Linked DNA regions of Schizosaccharomyces pombe. The protein of the gene in region 4 binds, or shares a complex with, the protein of the main gene of each other region. Each region holds a gene or a part of one and is shown on either strand. Other genes may lie near its edges.

Region 1 (4,770 bases), on a different chromosome or scaffold from region 4:
GATAGCCCTAATTTTTAACGAAGTTAAAAAGAAGTTTGAGGGAATTTAAAATGATTCGTCTTCAAAAGTTTGGTGAAATTGTTGGGACCAGTCGTTCTTGGAAACTTCTTAGTTCAACCATCGCAAAGCGCTATTCTTCTTCTTCCAATGGAGTGAAGGAAATGACCGTTCGTGATGCTTTGAACAGTGCAATGGAAGAAGAAATGAAACGTGACGATCGTGTCTTCTTGATTGGCGAAGAGGTTGCGCAATACAATGGTGCTTATAAGATATCTAGAGGTTTATTAGACAAGTTTGGTCCTAAACGTGTTATCGACACTCCCATTACTGAAATGGGTTTTACTGGTTTGGCAACAGGTGCTGCTTTTGCTGGTTTACGTCCTATTTGTGAGTTTATGACTTTCAATTTTTCCATGCAGGCTATCGATCATATCGTTAACTCGGCCGCCAGAACCCTGTACATGTCTGGTGGTATTCAGGCTTGTCCTATTGTCTTCCGTGGACCTAATGGGCCTGCCGCTGCAGTTGCTGCTCAGCATTCTCAACACTTTGCTCCATGGTATGGTAGTATCCCTGGTCTTAAAGTAGTTTCTCCTTACTCAGCAGAAGATGCTCGTGGTTTGTTGAAGGCTGCTATTCGTGATCCTAATCCCGTTGTTGTACTTGAAAACGAAATTCTTTATGGTAAAACCTTTCCAATTTCGAAAGAAGCGTTGAGCGAGGACTTTGTGCTTCCCTTTGGCCTTGCTAAGGTGGAGCGCCCCGGTAAAGATATCACCATCGTTGGTGAGTCTATTTCTGTTGTTACTGCTTTAGAAGCAGCTGACAAGCTCAAGGCTGACTATGGTGTTGAAGCTGAAGTTATAAACTTGCGTAGTATTCGTCCTTTAGACATCAATACTATCGCGGCCAGTGTTAAGAAGACAAATCGTATTGTGACTGTTGACCAGGCATATAGTCAACATGGTATTGGTAGTGAAATTGCTGCTCAAATTATGGAGTCTGACGCATTTGATTATCTTGATGCTCCTGTTGAACGTGTAAGTATGGCAGATGTTCCCATGCCTTATAGTCATCCTGTTGAGGCTGCTTCTGTCCCAAATGCCGATGTTGTTGTTGCTGCTGCTAAAAAATGCTTGTATATTAAATAACAAGCTCAATTGTTGAGTCATCTGTTTAATAAAACCCGCTCTTTTCCCTTTTCCGAATAGTTGATATCTACGTATTTCGCTTTCTATTATTTTTACATTATCTACAAAGTGTAAATATCTAAGATGCTTGTCTTTAATGACTCAGATTATTGTGTGTGGGTCTTAGATGGTTTTAATTTCTTTGCAATTATTTGCGAAGATATGATTTTTCCAACCATCTTTCCAATTGGTTATCCGGGTTGGTATATCTACCTTTCAGGATAGTTTTGCTTCGTTTATCCTTAATATATGTTATATTGTATATATTACTAAATTCGTGTAAGTTTTTTAACGTAATCTGAAAGCCAGTGAACTTCAATTATATTATATTACAGCTAATGGAAATAATACGCTATATGAATATGTTCAACTATTTGGTGTCTATTATACTCTACTTAACTACTCGTAACCTCTTAAAGCGTAGAATATTAAGTACTTGATCCCACTAAACCTATTTACAGGTCTATCTTTAGTCAATGCACCAAAATGTTTCCATGTGGGGTTGATGAACTACTTATCCCACATCATCCGCTGTAGTATATCTAAGTAGACTTGCGCTAATAATACTTACAATAACAGAATTTCAGAATCCTTGCAGATGAAATCATAGTAGTGTCTTTAGCCTTATTATTGTTGTTTTTATTTCGTTTTGCCTTTAACTTTAAGCAACCACATTCCCTAGGAGCCTTCCCTAATTTTTGGTATAAAATCATGGCTAGCAAAGCAATCCTGGAAGAATTAAATATTCTCTCATCAAAAATATTTGGCACTCAGTATAAATCAAACAACTCGAGAACGGGTCGCAAATTTGTAGTACAAGAGCTGAAGGGAGCAAAACTGAAGAGCTACTATCCCGCAACTATCAATTATCGTCAATTAAGGACCCTTTTAAATGATAAAACATTTCCCGATAGTGATGAGGAATTGCGAATGGAAATCAGGAAAGGGTATGTTAGTTGTTAATTGAGATTGAATGTTTCTTTCACAAGAAATTAGCTAATTAAAATACTAGGAGAATACGCCAAGGAAAAGGAGCCTCCAAGTCAAAAAGTATGTAAAGCTTACTATAAAACCGAATTAGGAACCTTCTAACTCCTGTTTAGAAAAATAAATAATTGAAAATTGTGCCTTTCTAATACTTTGCGGTTACATTTCGCACATTTTCTTTCCAATTATTATCAAATGGGTAACGGCTAAACAGCTTTGAACGAAACTGATAAACTAAGTTTAATTATAAAAATTTTGTTGTTTCATAAACAAAAAATATTATATATCAACTGTGTGCAACAATACTTAACATTTTGATCAGTCGTAAGGAAATTTTTTCTGATGAAAAAGAAGATCTCGCAGTTTTCTAATAGATATTCTTTTGGTCGGAAGCATAGCGTACTGGATATTGTAGAGTTGCTCAGCAGGTATCGCTGGAACTGGGCAACCTACGAGCAAACTAATCAAAGTAGTTTTTGAAAGGTAATGCGAAATTAACCTACGCGCCAGTTTCCGATAATGCTCAAACATGGATCCAAGAGACATCGGTTTGGAGTTGCAATTGAGATATAGCGTTGCGAAGCCGTCTTGTTTTAATGGTTCAAAGCTGACTATCTCAAAATTCAGCCCACTTGGTATTCTATAAGGATCTTTAATTCGTAACATTGTAACAAATAATGGGAAGTGATTCAGGAAGGCTAACATAGTTTCACAGATTGCCAAGCATGTCATCACGGATACTCGTGTTAATGCAAATGCTGCATAGAAAACATATATTGTAGGTAAGAAGAATATTAGTACCGTAAAAAGGATTGTTCCTAAAAGTAGTTGGTCTAAATCATACTCATATGAGTCGATTCTATTTCGTAAAACGTTTCTTTTTTTTCCTCGAAAAAGCTGCAGCAAACTATAAATTACACGTAGCTGCCAATTATACAAACGTGATGAAGCCAAATAAAGCAAATGTATATGAATAGTCATAACACTTAAAAAATCAGAAATTAAAGCGATCATTAAACTAGCACCCCCAAACCCAGAAATAGCGACAACTTGAACCAAAAATGGAGTCCAAGGCAAACAATGCAAAAGAAAATTACTCCATACGTCAATAACCCATACAGAAAGCTTCATAATAAACTTGCAAATGTCGTTGTTTAGTTTTAATCCAGCAGGAGTATCCACGAGCCATATAACCATAGAACGAACGTTTTTTATCGCATACTCGAATGTGATATTTTCTATTAATTTTACCACCAGATGAAGATTCTCTAAAATAAATGAACTCATTGTAATCCCAAAGATCATGTCATTCGCAACCAACCAAAGGTTGTTATAGAATCTAATATATTCTTTGTAATCCTCTATCGCAACGCGCTTGCTTTTCCGAAAAACCCATAATTTCATATATTGTACAGGCCAAAAACACGCTTGTTGCAACCTCAAATCTACTTGACGAGCAGAAACGAAAATATCCATCATATTATAAGATAAAGGAATCGGTCGGTAATTAATCGCCAAGAGTATAACCTCATTAATTATCCTCAATAATATGATAAAGTAAGCAAACAGCGAATTAAAAAAATAAAAGGTTGATGACGAGACACGATCAAAAAGTCGAAAAACATATGAATTTTTTTTGTTATTATTTTCATGTGTTAACATGCGAACCTCGAAGGATTGATTAAGAAGCTCAATTAAGCCTGAGCGTAGACTCCTTTTCCAGCTATTTTCTTTGCGTCGGGGAAAGTGCAATTTCAATTTTTTTAACAGTATTTGCTGGTGTTGCATGCTTTCGTATTCAGGGTTTGACTTGTTAATAAAACTATCTTTTAACAATAAAAGCGATAGAGGTTCAAGGGAAAGAAATTGCATTTTTCTTGGCTGCGGAGGATGATAATAAATTATATGCAGATTTATTTTTAAAGGCGTACTAGCCGAATCGAAAACTCGGGGATGAGAAAGCTCAGTCGATTGCTGCACTTTGATCCAACAATCAATTTCATATTTGTCACCCGGCAAAATATCGGCAGAGCAATTAAACGTGCCTAATATACACAGAGATTTAATATCTACTGATTGATCTTGATTTTTGCAATAATCAACTAAAAAATTAGCGAAGGATTGATAACTAGTAATTGTTGTCACAACGATAAGATCGTTGGTAGAGTACTTCCAACCAACTAAGTAACCAGAATCGGTATAAGAGATCGTACTTTTGGGCCAATATATCCGTTTCACTTCAATTGGAGCCGAAGCTATATTCATGGTTGTGGTAGACATTTGAAATATAATATTGAATGCTCTGAAGTCAATTCCGAAGTGTTTAATAAAAAAGACAAACAAGTAATAACAGACTTTAGAAGCATACAAAAAACTTTTGTTAAGAAAAATATAACAGGAGATGATACTGCTCTCTCCGGTGTTTAGAACTCAAGTTGTAAAATCAAAAACTTCCTCGACGTAAAAGCTGTTCCCTTGCAGAAATGCCACCGCTAACTGACGTTGAGTTACGAGCTTCGGATTCAGCGATTCGTTCTAAAAGAATGAAAATAAAAAATCCTAAAACGGTAAACAGTAGTACGTATGAAGGAAC
Region 2 (6,281 bases), on a different chromosome or scaffold from region 4:
GTAGTAATGTCAAAATCGAGAGAAAAGTAAAATGATCCATTTGTTAATAGCTTTCTGAGACTACTGAATGGTTCAGCGGCATACTTGTAAGAATCATAGCCTTGGGTATCGGTATCGTAACCATCCGGAATATCAGGCGAGTAATTTTCTTGTCGAATGTGATCCCAGTTTGAACGATTAACACTGTAAAAGCAGACCTCCATGATACGAAAAACTCTTTCTTTATCTCGCACACGTGCTACCTCACTAGCTCCACTAATCACGCACAAAAAATTGGACCCTTCTAATTCAATCAGACCTAGAGTACCATAAATTCGATGACTGGAGATTTTTCGAAATCCTTCTAACGGCTTTTCTGACAATGCCGTAAATTCTGCAACACATACTGATAAAGAGTTTTTGTTCTGAGGAACCGAATGAAACATAAGAGCATGGTCCTTATTGACTAAGGCCAAGGATCTTGGCTTTTCCCTCAGCAGACATTGCATCTTAAGATTCACAAATGTGAACTATAAATAATAAAATTCGTTCTGTAATGAACGATGCAAGTCTTTACCAACGATGTTTGTCCGAACAAGTTATAAATCTTGGGATACGAAGTTGGGTGGTGTTGGGTGACAAAAACGTTCGTTACTTAAACATTATAGAAGCGCTTCTGTAAATTAGAATAAGTAAACGGCTTATTTTAATTTACTATGTTAAAATGTATTCCAAAAAATTTTGGTTCTAATATATGGAAGTTTCTGGTCAATTTTTAAAGTGCATTTGCTTTACAAAACTCGTAACCCTTGTAAACATATTTCATTGATTATGGGTAGAAAACCATTGAAACAAGAAAATCATAAGAGAAGCGATCTTGCTAAAACGTAACGTAACAGGATTTCAAGGCACTTCCATAAGATTGGTACTGTCAAAAAATGTATTATAATTCACTTTCGTTCATCAACAGTGCCATTGTTAATTTCAAAAACACCAAGTTGCACAAGAATACAGCGGTTACTCCAACGTATTAAAAATAAAAGTCAAACAGATACAGTATTCGGCAGAAAAAACCCCCATCTTAAGAGCTAAGATTATTTGAGCTCTCCGAAGATGTTCGCTGACGCTGAATAGCTTCAACTATGGCAATTTTTTACATTTCAAATGTGTTGGTTACTGTAATAGTATGTTTAATCTCGCAAATAGTGGTTATTGTATTGTAGCCACTTGAACCGAATGCTTATTAATTGAAAGGTTAGATGTTTTTTGCAATACAGTTAATTTCCACAAATAGAGCAGCAAAGTATAGTACTCATTGTGGCTACGTCGAGAATAAGTATCCAACTTGCTAGCCAATTCCGAGTAATCAGCGCACATCTAAAAATTAAGATTGGGTTTCCGGCATTGATATTGTCACTTTTTAGAAGGCTCGATCGATACTTATAATCTTGATTTTTCAGAAAAATTAAAGAAAAAATTTTCCTGGCTGGAGCATATTGATATTCCAACAGTCTGCAATTCGATTTTGACTCGAAGTGTTTGTTCCTTGCTTAGGTCCCTGGCTTTACTTTAATATAGGCACTTTTCATGAGAATCCATTGAAATTGTACGTTTTCTAAAGCCATAAAAATTTAAGTTAGGTCTCCTCTGTAAATTGTCGTGAATATTTCATAAGTGAGACAAGTCGTAATGGCGTTACTAAATAGGTTGGCAAAAACCTTTTCCCCTTATTATGGATTAAACAAAGTTGAACAAAAGCTTTTAATAAAAATAGATTGGTTCATACTTTCTTACTGTTGCGTTTCATATTTTATTAATTACTTGGATAGATCATCAATAAACAATGCATACCTTAGTGGTATGCAAGAGGATTTGAAAATGCATGGTAATGAATTGCAAGATATAAACGTTGTTTTTACATGTGGATACATTATAGGACAATTGCCAGGTTCTTATGCATTACAGAGAGTACCAGCAAGACTTTGGTTTTCGGTTATGAATATTTTATGGGGACTTATGACGATTTTTTCATTTGCGGTACATTCCGTTCGAGCATTGATGATTTTACGCTTTTTCATGGCGGTTGCGGAGGCATCTACATTTGCTGGTACGCATTATATATTGGGCGCATGGTACAAAGAAAGTGAACTATGCAAACGTGCCGGAATTTTTTCAGCCTCTGGTTTAGTCGGCACAATGTTTGCTGGGTATTTGCAAACAGCAGTTCATTCATCATTAAATGGTAAAGGTGGTTTATCTGGTTGGCGTTGGCTTTTTATAATTGATGGCATTTTGACGATTCCTCTTTCATTATATGGGCTCTTTCTGTTTCCTGACGTTCCAGAAACAACCAAGGCTCCTTATTTTACAGAACAAGAAAAAGAATTAAGTTTCAAAAGGCTACCCGCTCGCCCCAAGAAGAAGCCATTAACGCTAAAAGCGATAAAGGATATTGTACGTTCATGGCGAATTTACGGTTTGTGCATCCTTTGGATTTTTAGCGGAGAAACACAAGCTATAGCTGTCAATGTATTGATGGGTCAGTGGATGAAATGGAGCAACAAATTTTCTGTTGCCCAAATAAATAATTACCCAACTGTGATTACAGCTGTTGGCGTAGTATCAACGTTAGGTGCTAGTGTTATTTCTGATAAATTAGCTGGAAACCCAAGATGGCCTTTTGGACTTTTTCTGTGCGTAATTACTACTGTTTCTGCTACAATACTTCTAGCATGGAACGTGCCAGATGGCGCAAAATTCTTTGCTTATTTCGCTTCTGGTTGTACATATGCTGGACAAGCAGTTTGGTTTTCTTGGGCAAATGACATTTGCCGGGATAATGATCAGGAAAGAGGAGTTGTTGTGTTTTTGATGAATATGTGTCAGAATATCTGGCATATTTGGTGGGCACCTATAATGTATCCCAATACTGATACGCCTCGATTTATAAAAGGATTAATTGGTTTGCTGGTGGTAGGAGGAATAGTCTTTGTTAGCTCTTGTATTGTTAGTTACATGCAAATCCGCGATAAAAGAATTAAACGATCCATCCAGGATGCAAAAGATTTCGATGATGTATTCACTGAGCATGAAAGTTTAGAGTTAAAAAAAATAGGCAAAAATGATGAGGAATCACTCAACACAACTAATGCGGTCAAAGAAATTAGTTCTCCAGGGCTTGTGATAACGCGACAGCGAATTTCCATGCCAAAAGAAACGAATGCCCAAGATTAGTACTAGAAGATTAATGACATAGTATAAATATTCCTTATGCCTTTAAGTACACATTTAGAGTAAATTTGCTGTTCATATTGATATCAACCTAACATAAAAATTTACCACAGTTGGCTCATCTAATTGACCAAGCCCTTTGACGCAAACGCAAACGAATACCTTTGCACACATACTCAAAAAGAATCTGCTAACAAACGATTTAAGGTGCAGCTGAAGTTAAAAATTTATAACCATTAAATAGAAATACCAACTATACGTATAGTTTGGATGGTATCCGGCAATGATCAACAAGTTATTGAGTATACATCAGTCCTAAAGGAATTTAGCGATGGTGTAGACTTAATGGAGCTAAAAGAAAATTTTTTATATATTAGGACTAGAGAAAAAATTGAAGCTAAATTAATCTGGGCAGGAGAGTGGGAATGGAAGCCCGTGAACGAAACAAATGAAAATAACTTGGAAAGAGGGAGACAATACCCTAGCGCCAATTCCGCACTAATGGAAAATTCTCCAGAATTTGCTAAATGGTTTCATGGACAATTGTTTAATCGGCTTTGCGTTCTAGGCTCCACATCTTCGTCGAGAAAAGACATGCTTTGAACAGTGTTGGCTATTTTAAGCAAATTTTAGATTAATTCGAACTCAAGCAAAAACTCAACTACAAAAAGAAGAAAGAATGTCTCAAAAGAATATAATATTCCATATACTTATTATTTACGTTTGCGTCGCTCACCTCCATTCTTTTTAACCATAACTGGATATGGCTTAACTATAAACCCTTCTTTAAATCGGTTTCTTTGGCTTGCAATGTATTTCCTTGTACGTACATCAATACCTTCCTTTTTCATAGTTTTTGTACTTTTCCTAAATAGACCATCCCAAGACTCGAATTTTCCGTTCACTTTTTCTGCAGTATCTCTTCCAATTCTTTTAAAGAAATCATTTGTATTAGAAATCCCTGAATCTTGTTAGGAATTTAAATTGCACTAATGTTTTGAAATCTCATACCTGATCTTGGACTAGGAACAGTAGAGGCATACCGGCAGTTAGAAAAAGGAAATATAAAATTTCTTATAATGAAAATCCTCTTCAAGATCAACATATTTACCAGTATTGTTTTAAAAATATTTGGTTGTTTAAATAAGTTGTGTACAGTTTCTGGAACGTATGCGAAAGTCTCACAAACGTACTAGCGACTCATAGTGCGACCATGTCAAGCTTAGTGCCTGCAATTATTAGCTATATAAATCCTTGCTTTTAATTCTTTTATGAGATTTACTGCATGCAAACTTTCAAGTCCCTTGAATATCTCAAACTTCTACTTCCGAAAAGTCATTACGTGTCTATTAACTAATCAATACAGTGAATCTACAAATTCCTAATTGCGGTTTTTGTATAGCAGGAACTCGTATTTTGAACATATAAATTACCAGTTATATTTTCGGGTGAATTTTTTGAAGACTCTACTATGTGTATTTAAAGCCCACTTACTTTAATTGTAAAAACATTAATTTAACTAATTATAGTGAATGTCTGACTCTAAGCTATTTATCAACGCATTCCAACCACCCACGAGTTTGTTAAGTATACAACAAAAGCACAATTTCTAATCACAGTATTGGAGATGTTTTTTAAAAATGAATGTCGATAATAATAAAGGCAATATTCCAGAGCTCCTTTGGAATGGCACTATTTCTGTGCGCATTGATTATGAAGGTAATTCTCTGGCCTATCTAGTATGTGATTTGTTCACTCAAGTAGTAATTTAATATTCTTTAACTCAATTTATTTTTTCCTTTTTGCTCACCATATTCTACCTAAGGCTAACGTCCCGCGACAATCATATTTTGCTCAAATACTCCCAAATGTTCAACGTCTGTTGGCACCTTCAATCCCTTTATCAGAATGTTGGTTGGATTATAATGGGGTTCCTCTTAAATGGTATCGTTTACCCAAAGTAACTTTCCGTAAATTAATCATAATATAGGCATTGGCCTGTTGGCTTACTTTTCGATTTGTTAACAGTGTTTGATCCGGATACTCCTCGAGCGCCGGTGCTATGGCGCATTCAATTGCGCTCAGGTCTATTTCCTACAACCAAAATACTTCAAATGGAAACCATGGATACTTTTCGAACATATTTTTTCAACTGCTTAAAAGAGGTGCGTTCTCTATCACAAAAACATATATGATTTATTTACAAAAGGGGTAAATCCATATTAACTTTTTACAGTCTGATTACGTTCGTAACGGAAGTTCGTCTGGAATAATCGCTCTTTCAAAGGCAGAAACAGACACCTACTGGAATGCAATACTCAATCATGATTACTATGATTTCCGTCCCATTGCTATAAAAATACTTTTTTCAAAATCCAAATTCATTCCTTTAAAAATTTATTTAGGGGCCAATGCTCCTATTATACAAACTTCTGCACCTCTTGGTAGTTCTCTTGGTGAGTTTCTCAATAAACGCCTTCCCGACTTGTTTCCATCATGTGATAAATTCTTAATAGTTAAACCAGTTATTCATGGTATTACAATTTTTCTTCAGAGCGTTTTAGACGAGCTCAATCGAGATTTCTGTTACATTGATGGGTTTTTACATATTGTTTTAATGAAAGTTTAAAACATTTACGTCTCTTCTCTAGCTCCTTTAGATAATTTGTTATTCATGTACAAATAATTTTAAGATTTGTATACCCATGCAGTCTAGCAATGACTTTACAATGACATTAAGGTGCGTTTGAGTACTCCTTTCCCTAAACAAACTGCTTTTTAAGAAGTAGGAAATGCAACGAGATATAGCATTGATAATTTGACTATGAAAATTTCTTTTTAATGAGAAGTCGTAGATTATGAAGACCCATTGGCAGCAACACCAGATGTTACTGTCTCAACAACACCCTGAAGACGGTAATATTTCTCATATGGAGATTCACCAGACTTGATTTTTGCTTCATTCACAGAAATACCAGGGTGACCGTTAGTGCTTAAAAGCCTAGTACTAACCTGTTTCAAATCTTGTCCTTCATCGAGCTTTTTCCAGTGGGATTCCCGTACACTAAAAG
Region 3 (4,005 bases), on a different chromosome or scaffold from region 4:
TTTACCACTCAAAAGGATATGTTTTGATTGAGTATATCATTCATAGAAAATGCAAAAACCAATTTTAGAACATAAACAATTATATTTTTAAAAATTCACAGCTATATTTGCATCAGCCGGGAGTCGAACCCGGAGCTAGAGCATGGGAAGCTCCAATGTTACCGCTACACCACTAATGCATTCAGATATTTAGACTGATGTTGCAATCTATATAGTAATTTAGAAAGGATTGTTATTGTTGAGTCTGATGAAATTCTGTTTGTTGAACATTTCAAAAATGTTGCATATCAGTTAGCCATGAGTTGGGCTCTTAATATGATGTTCCAGCCTTTTAAGACTGCATACAGAAAATAATAATTAACTACGATATGGTCGCATTTTAACTGTATGAAACTTTTTTTACAAGAGGTTATTAGAAAATTCAATTGGAGGAAATCCCACAGTGTATCAAAACAGTTGCTGTTAAAACTTACTTTACACTTAACTCGTAAACATTCAACATTTTAACGTTCGATTTTCGAGTAGCAGCTTCAAAAAAGTGCTCGTTAATTTTTAACACATAAAAATGTGTAAACAAAGCAGCCACATAACCGATGTCTTACATATTCCTTCTGTACCCGTTGATATCCCAATTGAAGAAGGGATTTTAGTTGTAGCAAACAAAAACAAACGATAATAACAAAATAAAAATGATATTATACCACTTAACCCATGAATAGCTAAATTATAGTAAATTTTTAAATTAAGAAAAATTTTTTTTAAGCAGGACCAATTAATGGCGACGAGAGCGCTTGATTTTTTTTGAGGTATTTCTCACTTGCTTGGAAGTAAGCTTCTTTTCCTTTTCTCCCTCTTCAACAAGCCATTGTGTCTCTAATTCCTTATTTTTACCCTTATAACCCCATTTTGGTACCCATTCACCAGATGCTTCATCAAACACCAACCTGCCTTCCCGCTTCTTAGGAGCAATACCTTTAATACGAGCAAACCGTTGCCATTTGGTTTCGGGCTTGGGTTTAGGTAAAGGTTTAGCACGAGGAAGAGGTGTAACAGTTTCAGGAAGCTGTAAAAGGACGCCATCTGATGTACGCTCCTTAGGCAAGGAAATCATTTTGTTCACCAATTGTTGAACGTTATCTCTACTGAGAGAAAAAAGGAATGATTCTTTCTCTGAACCGCTAAGCTTAGTTTCATCTAAGGGAGAAATATCAAATGCAGCCATATTTCCCAAATCGAAATCTAGAGGAATGGAGTTTTCTATTTGTGCAGACATGATTAACGAAATAGGGACAAGGAAAAAAAAAGGGTTGATAATACAATTAAGTGACAAAAAGTTCTCAAAAAAGACTGCAAAATTGATTTGTTAAAAAGTTGGTTCAGGATACGAAATTCTTCTTTCAAACTCCAAAATTTTTATCAAACTACTGAATATATAAGAGAAAAAGCTCTCTTTCAGTTCAGCAATCTACTGTTTTTACTTTCTTTATGACAAACGAAGAAAGTAAGAAAACTTTTACGATTCTTTAGTTTTTGCAAAAGTAGAGACACTTATTAGCAATACGTTAGTTCTCTTTATTACTGAACGCCAAATCTACCCTATTAAAAAATATTAGCAATGCGCTAAGAGCTCAGTAAATACTTACCATCCGGAAGCAGTCAGTCTCTTCATTTACGTGAGAACAGATATGTATACTTAAGATTTACGAGAAAAAAATACCTCTAACAAAATGCTACCGAAGTTTAGAAGCAGAAGTAGTATTATTAAGAATACAGAGAGAATTTCTAATATCCTGTCCGGTGGAAAACTGACTGTTTGCGGTAGTAAACTGGGAGGACTCTACACTTTTGAAAAATGCACATTTAACAAATACTATTCATCCTCACAATACCAGCATACGGGTAGACCTGTTGGAGGAAATATACATTCAAGCTCTAACCAGCAGCGTCAAAAAAATTCGGAAGCGCCAAGAATTAATGAAATTCCCCCCTCAACTTCGTCAGTAGAGAAATCGACGACTATTCCCAATAGTAGCGTTGTATTGGATCATCTCTTAAATGAAGGAGAAAATACTTTAGAAGAGGTGAAGCCCTCTGAAATTCATCCGCATATGTCTTGGTCCAGCAAGTCTGAAGGTAAGATGTTTAAAATCCCCGAGGAATTGCTTAATAAACTTAATGGATTTGGGGCTTTAGAAAAACAAAAAAAAAGTTTCTCCTTTTTTACCAGTGCTTCCCTTTTGCACAGGAAAATTACAACTGAATTAGTGAATGTACTGCAGCGCTCCAAAGACCAGGGTACGAAGGACGGACGTTTTCTTCTTGATGGTGCTCCAGGTTCAGGAAGAAGTATTGCTCTCATACAAGCTGAACTTTTCGCCTTATCACAACCTAATTTTATAGTCTTGCCAGTCCATAACTGCGAAGGATGGGTAAATTCAACGAGTAGTTATGGTTATGATGAGCAACTCAAGTTGTGGGTGCAACCAGATTTAATTAAGGGATTTCTAACTTCTGTTATGAAAACTAATTCTGATAAACTTAAGAAGCTAAAGACCTTTGAAAGTCATGAGTTGCTTCAGAACGAATGCATTCCTGCTGGTACCGATTTACTTTCCTTTCTTCATAAGCTAATTGCTTCCTCGAACGCTCCTAAATCTCTGGAAATATTTTTACAAGAACTCAATAACAATACCAAGTCAAATTCCAATATGAAGGTGTTATTAGTGATCGATAATATTTCTATTTTATCGGTCGTTACCAAGTATAAGGACAAAAAGAACAACTTCCTTCCCCCTAAAGACTTTTACTTTATTAATTTACTTTTCAAATATATTTCGGGTTCGCTTACTTTTAATCGTGGTACTGTTTTAGCTGCTACTTCTAGCCAACCGCGTGTTTCTACCCCGTCATTGGATATAGCTCTTGGAGTAGCTCACAGAAATCCTTACAAATCTTCTGATGAGACTATATTAGATTCATTACAGTCCGTGCATATTCTTAACATGGAGCCTTACACTTTAGATGAGTCACGTCGCATGATGGAGTATTTGGTATCATCCAACGTTTGCCTTGAAAAGGTTGATAATTATTTGCAAAATCATGTCCTTAGTGGTGGTAATCCGCGAAAGTTTTTTGATGCTTGCACACGTCTAGCATGATTGAGATATTCAAAAATTTCTATCCACTACAACTCCTTTAACGCGGTTTTATTTTTCTATTTTCTATTCTCATGTTGTTCCAAATATGTATCATCTCGTATTAGGCTTTTTTCCGTTTTACTCCTGGAATCGTACCTTTTTCACTATTCCCCCTAATGAATAATCTAAATTAGTTTCGCTTATAATTGATAGTAGTAGAAAGATTGGTGATTCTACTCGTGTAATGTTATTAGTTTAAAGATACTTTGCAAAACATTTATTAGCTATCATTATATAAAAAAAATCCTATAATTATAAATATTAATCAATATTTGCGGTCACTATTTATTTAAAACGTTATGATCAGTAGGACACTTTGCATATATATAGTTATGCTTAATGGTTACTTGTAACTTGCATGACCGAACACCATACCCCCAAAAGCAGGATTCTTCGCTTTCTAGAGAATCAATATGTATACCTATGTACCTTAAATGATTATGTACAACTTGTTTTGAGAGGGTCGCCGGCAAGCTCGTATAGCAATATATGCGAACGCTTGAGAAGCGATGTACAAACGTCCTTTTCTATTTTTCTTCATTCGACTGTAGTCGGCTTCGACAGTAAGCCAGATGAAGGTGTTCAATTTTCTTCTCCAAAATGCTCACAGTCAGAGGTATATATATTTTTGTTTTGATTTTTTTCTATTCGGGATAGCTAATATATGGGCAGCTAATAGCGAATGTTGTAAAACAGATGTTCGATGAAAGTTTTGAGCGTCGAAGGAATCTACTGATGAAAGGGTTTTCCATGGTAAGGTATTCTAATTGTGAAATATTTACCTGCAATTACTGTTTCAAAGAGATTG
Region 4 (3,788 bases):
ATTTGATAAGGCTAAATTTAGTGGACAAAAAGGTACTCTTCGTTCAAAATACTCTCTTGAAGTTGGTAAGCCCATGCATTATGGTATCATATCAGAGTGGGATGTTTCGAAACTGAAGATTAGGGTGTTGGAACAAGGCAGAGAGTCCAAGAAGGTTTCAGTTGCAAGCTACAAATTCGGTGATTTAAAGAGTGGAGAAGTTACTGTGTGGCGTGTAATGCGTCGATCTTGGCTTGGTTGGAATTAATGGTAATTATTTTACTATGGTTTTAAGTTCTTATCATTTTATCACAAATAACTCAAACTTCCTAAAGAGCAGCACTCATTTTTTTAAATTGTTCAATTGCGAAGCAGATTTGAATAGTCCTTAATGATCGTCTGTCAGTATATTCTTTCACTGATATATCTTTGACGATTGGGATTATTTATATCATTTTTTGACGACACGCCCTATGTTTTTAGAAGACTTATATCTCGTGGAAGTTGTTTGCTGAATTATATTCACATATATACCAAAGATTGGGCTATGTGATTCAACTTTTGAAATATATATACACATCTACAGTCATTTTTATAGTATATGCTAATAATCAGTTATATCTAATTAAACAGTTGAAATGCACAATTAACAATGTATGGTAAAAGGATAAGATTTTGTAAGTTATTGAACTGTACTTAAAGACAATTTCGGAAAAAAAAAATCCTTTACAAAATTCTAACTCTTTTTTCAAACGCTTGCGCTTATATAATCAACAAAAAACATTTATTTCGAGGTGAAACCGAAAATAACGGTTAACTGAAATATATACCTAGTCAAGATTAACGAGAGTGACTTTCACTAACACCCAGAGAACAAGGATGTAACATTGCAAACCAAACAAACTTCTTAGAAAACACATTCAGTTCAAGTGTTATGACTGTTCACCAAAATGAACAACCGTCAAGTGCAAAACGCAGTTTAGGGTAAACTAGTAAATAGGGAAACAAATGGAAAGTGTAAGAGTCATTTGAAGCAATAGACCCATTATTGGTACAAGAATTTGATGCCACACAAAGAGAAGTAAGAATAAATAGATTGAAAGATTTTTTAAAGGAGAATCGTATGTCGTTAAGATTATTGCTAGTGGTAGATTGTACTGTGGGATAACAACAGAATATAGGAGACTTAAACGAACCTTCTTAATAATAAAAATGATAGGTTGTTAAATGCAACTTAAAATCGAGTAAACCATAAGGAGATAGCATAAATGCACATGATCATAAAGTCCTCTACGAATTAGAGAGGTTATCTTTCTCTGAGGAATTAGCTTCATTATTTGAGGTTTGAGAGGGAGCCATAAAAAATTTCATAATACCCCGTTGATAGGATACGGGAGCATCGAGAGATGAATCTCTTTTGGCTACCAATTGAATATCTCTGTTAAAAAACGATTCAACCTCCGAGTCTTCCGAGGGATAGGCAAGATGTGTTTCTAACTCGGGACCGGAAAAGGGAACTAGTCGGAGTCGACCATTTTTATAGACTGTATAAGAAATGCGCTGTTCCTGGGAAAAGAGGGGAGATGACCGATTTCTATTAAAGACAACTGTTCGAGGTAGCCTCAGAATCAAGCCCCCTAAACCGTAGTATGCAGTAGAGGCATCTGAACTAATTATATGGGCCGTAAGTCGACGTCGAATATTGGAACAATTTGATTCACAATTAGGTGTTACTCGAGAATTAATTAAAGGAACATTACTGTATTGAATACCGCCAGAAACTCCGTAACGGCGAAAGTTATCATTTTCGTCGGATTGTTTAGAAGGAGAAAATACCTTATTTATGTCACGCGTATCTTTCAACCCCGTTTCTTTCAATAATTCTTGCAACAAAGCAACTTCAGAAGGATCTCGTACAAATCCAGCATCAAACCAATTGCGAACTAGACGAACAAATTTAGCGCTTGATTGAAAATCTGCTTGCTTGTATAAGGAATCTTGCTGCCGCACACATATGTATCTTGTCTTTATTTTTGGAAGAGTCCTTTTCAGTCCCCAATCACCACGAGCTCTACTATTTTTTTTTGAAGTTATGGATTGCAATCGAGGAAACCGAAGGTGTGATGTTGAATAATTGGATTCTGGAAGACATTTTGGAGAAGCCATTGCCCTCGAGCCACGGAGAATTTGTGCAAAACTCATATTTTTACAAAAATTCAAGATTTATATTGGGACTTGGCTTCTATGAGGAGAACGGTGGCTGTACGGTAGTAAGCACTGAGCGCTGTCAGTATCTAACATTGACTCCGGTAAGTTAGGGTAGGGTTTAAATGTAAAATCAAAAAGCACAACGCAATATTAGTAGTACTAACTAATAATTTAGTCTAATATAAACAAAATAAAAAAAATAAATTCAATTATTAACAAGAAGGTATTAAAGTTCGCAAAGCGTGATATGAATCAATCTCTGGTCCATCAGCATATATATCTAAATTTACATGTTGACACAGTAGCATTTTCAATAAGATTAAAGCGCCAACTGAAAGAAATATGTTAGTAGAAGTAATGTGAATAATCTATTTAAGTTTGCAAGCAATCCCTTTTCATTTGATCATAAAAAAAATGAGAGTGTTATCTTACAAACTACTAAGCGACCAATCTATACGGGATTGCTTCACCGTCCAACAAAAAATGCAAAGTATATCTATACTTACCCTTGTCAAGTACTTCTCCAGAGCAAACTCCGCCTTCAAATTTTGAACTCGTAATACATCCGGGACAACCTTCACGAACTTTGCAATCGCAACTCTCAATTCGCTCAATGGCCATTGTAATTAATTCATCAGTATGTTCATATGCCTTGTTGCATAAACCAGCACCAGATGAATCACCACAATTATCATAGAAAATGAGTCGGGAAGGACGTCTTCGCTCGCTTTTAGCCTCTTTATACTCCTTTTCACCCGCTTTACATTCTGTTCGAATATCGTTACCGCTGTTACTAATAAAAATTGGCATCAACGAAAGTAAAGCATGTTGGGCAGCATGTATACTAGCGGCTCCATTTATTTTTTTTAATGACAAAACCTCAATGATATGCCAAGGTACATCTATCCAGAAACCTCGACTATCAATTTCAACAGGATGATCGGTAATATCTACCACGTCCAGAATATCTTTCTGCTTGTTAACTTTGAAATACCCAAATACATGTAATGTTGCTTTAACAGCCCCAAAATAAATGTTTGTACTTCCATGCATAGTCTTCTTCATTAAGCTGCGAACAGGATCAACATCTGTGAAATCTCTTTGCAATGTTGACCATTCAACATCAACTTGATGAGCAGTAATAATTCTCTTGTTAATATTTAGGAGCCTAATGATAAACGTTTTTCCTTGATAAACATAAACTGCACCTTCGTAAGCAGTTAATGCAACACGAAAAGGTTCGAGGAGTTCTAGAATAACATTCTTATCATTTGTGACATCGACGAGAGTAAACATGTCTTCACTAACGCTTCGTATCCGTACCTGCGAGGCAGGAAAAGGAAGATATTTTGGATGAGGCCGATAACTCTCTTCAACCATTTCTAAATTTGCTTCGCAAATGTCTTGAATTTGATTTCCAAAAAACTTTTCGTCGCTCCTTATGTTAATGGGAAGCTCATATGCAGCACACTGAAGATGACTCGCTAGTAATACCTCATTTGTCAAGTCTAAAGTGAGTTCAGCATTTGGTTGAGTGTGAATCAAAATAGGATGCTTTAAATAAAACTGATCAACGGGAAATGTCTCAACTATATATACTG

Evidence for each region.
Region 1: mrp51 (region 4) and rsm27 share a complex: the UniProt entries of both Schizosaccharomyces pombe proteins name them as parts of the mitochondrial small ribosomal subunit.
Region 2: mrp51 (region 4) and fyv4 share a complex: the UniProt entries of both Schizosaccharomyces pombe proteins name them as parts of the mitochondrial small ribosomal subunit.
Region 3: mrp51 (region 4) and rsm23 share a complex: the UniProt entries of both Schizosaccharomyces pombe proteins name them as parts of the mitochondrial small ribosomal subunit.

The regions. Positions count from the first base shown.
Region 1 is NC_003423.3:3,070,493-3,075,262, forward strand, and holds rsm27 (mitochondrial 37S ribosomal protein mS33), read left to right. Parts: upstream 1-1,761; 5' UTR 1,762-1,901; coding exon 1,902-2,137; intron 2,138-2,202; coding exon 2,203-2,240; intron 2,241-2,293; coding exon 2,294-2,301; 3' UTR 2,302-2,495; downstream 2,496-4,770. Other genes in the region: pyruvate dehydrogenase e1 component beta subunit Pdb1, read left to right, coding at 51-1,151; gpi1 (pig-Q), read right to left, coding at 2,496-4,457. UniProt on the Schizosaccharomyces pombe protein: Component of the mitochondrial ribosome (mitoribosome), a dedicated translation machinery responsible for the synthesis of mitochondrial genome-encoded proteins, including at least some of the essential transmembrane subunits of the mitochondrial respiratory chain.
Region 2 is NC_003423.3:3,431,760-3,438,040, reverse strand, and holds fyv4 (mitochondrial 37S ribosomal protein mS41 ), read right to left. Parts: upstream 4,374-6,281; 5' UTR 4,316-4,373; coding exon 4,222-4,315; exon of another isoform or gene 4,172-4,221; coding exon 3,924-4,171; 3' UTR 3,814-3,923; coding exon of another isoform or gene 3,481-3,813; 3' UTR 3,214-3,480; coding exon of another isoform or gene 1,669-3,213; 3' UTR 533-1,668; downstream 1-532. Other genes in the region: syj1 (inositol-1,4,5-trisphosphate 5-phosphatase 1), read right to left, coding at 1-488; plasma membrane pantothenate transmembrane transporter Liz1, read left to right, coding at 1,669-3,213; SPOM_SPBC4B4.12C (uncharacterized protein), read left to right, coding at 3,481-3,813; autophagy-associated protein Atg5, read left to right, coding at 4,851-4,949, 5,036-5,154, 5,201-5,375, 5,447-5,839; U1 snRNP-associated protein Prp39, read right to left, coding at 6,067-6,281. UniProt on the Schizosaccharomyces pombe protein: Component of the mitochondrial ribosome (mitoribosome), a dedicated translation machinery responsible for the synthesis of mitochondrial genome-encoded proteins, including at least some of the essential transmembrane subunits of the mitochondrial respiratory chain.
Region 3 is NC_003423.3:2,065,661-2,069,665, reverse strand, and holds rsm23 (mitochondrial 37S ribosomal protein mS29), read left to right. Parts: upstream 1-1,675; 5' UTR 1,676-1,727; coding exon 1,728-3,158; 3' UTR 3,159-3,479; downstream 3,480-4,005. Other genes in the region: ribosome biogenesis protein Rrs1, read right to left, coding at 773-1,273; telomerase reverse transcriptase 1 protein Trt1, read left to right, coding at 3,556-3,813, 3,870-3,950. UniProt on the Schizosaccharomyces pombe protein: Component of the mitochondrial ribosome (mitoribosome), a dedicated translation machinery responsible for the synthesis of mitochondrial genome-encoded proteins, including at least some of the essential transmembrane subunits of the mitochondrial respiratory chain.
Region 4 is NC_003424.3:4,111,416-4,115,203, forward strand, and holds mrp51 (mitochondrial 37S ribosomal protein bS1m), read right to left. Parts: upstream 2,244-3,788; 5' UTR 2,182-2,243; coding exon 1,270-2,181; 3' UTR 555-1,269; downstream 1-554. Other genes in the region: bbc1 (SH3 domain-containing protein), read left to right, coding at 1-247; RecQ type DNA helicase Hrq1, read right to left, coding at 2,400-2,518, 2,694-3,788. UniProt on the Schizosaccharomyces pombe protein: Component of the mitochondrial ribosome (mitoribosome), a dedicated translation machinery responsible for the synthesis of mitochondrial genome-encoded proteins, including at least some of the essential transmembrane subunits of the mitochondrial respiratory chain.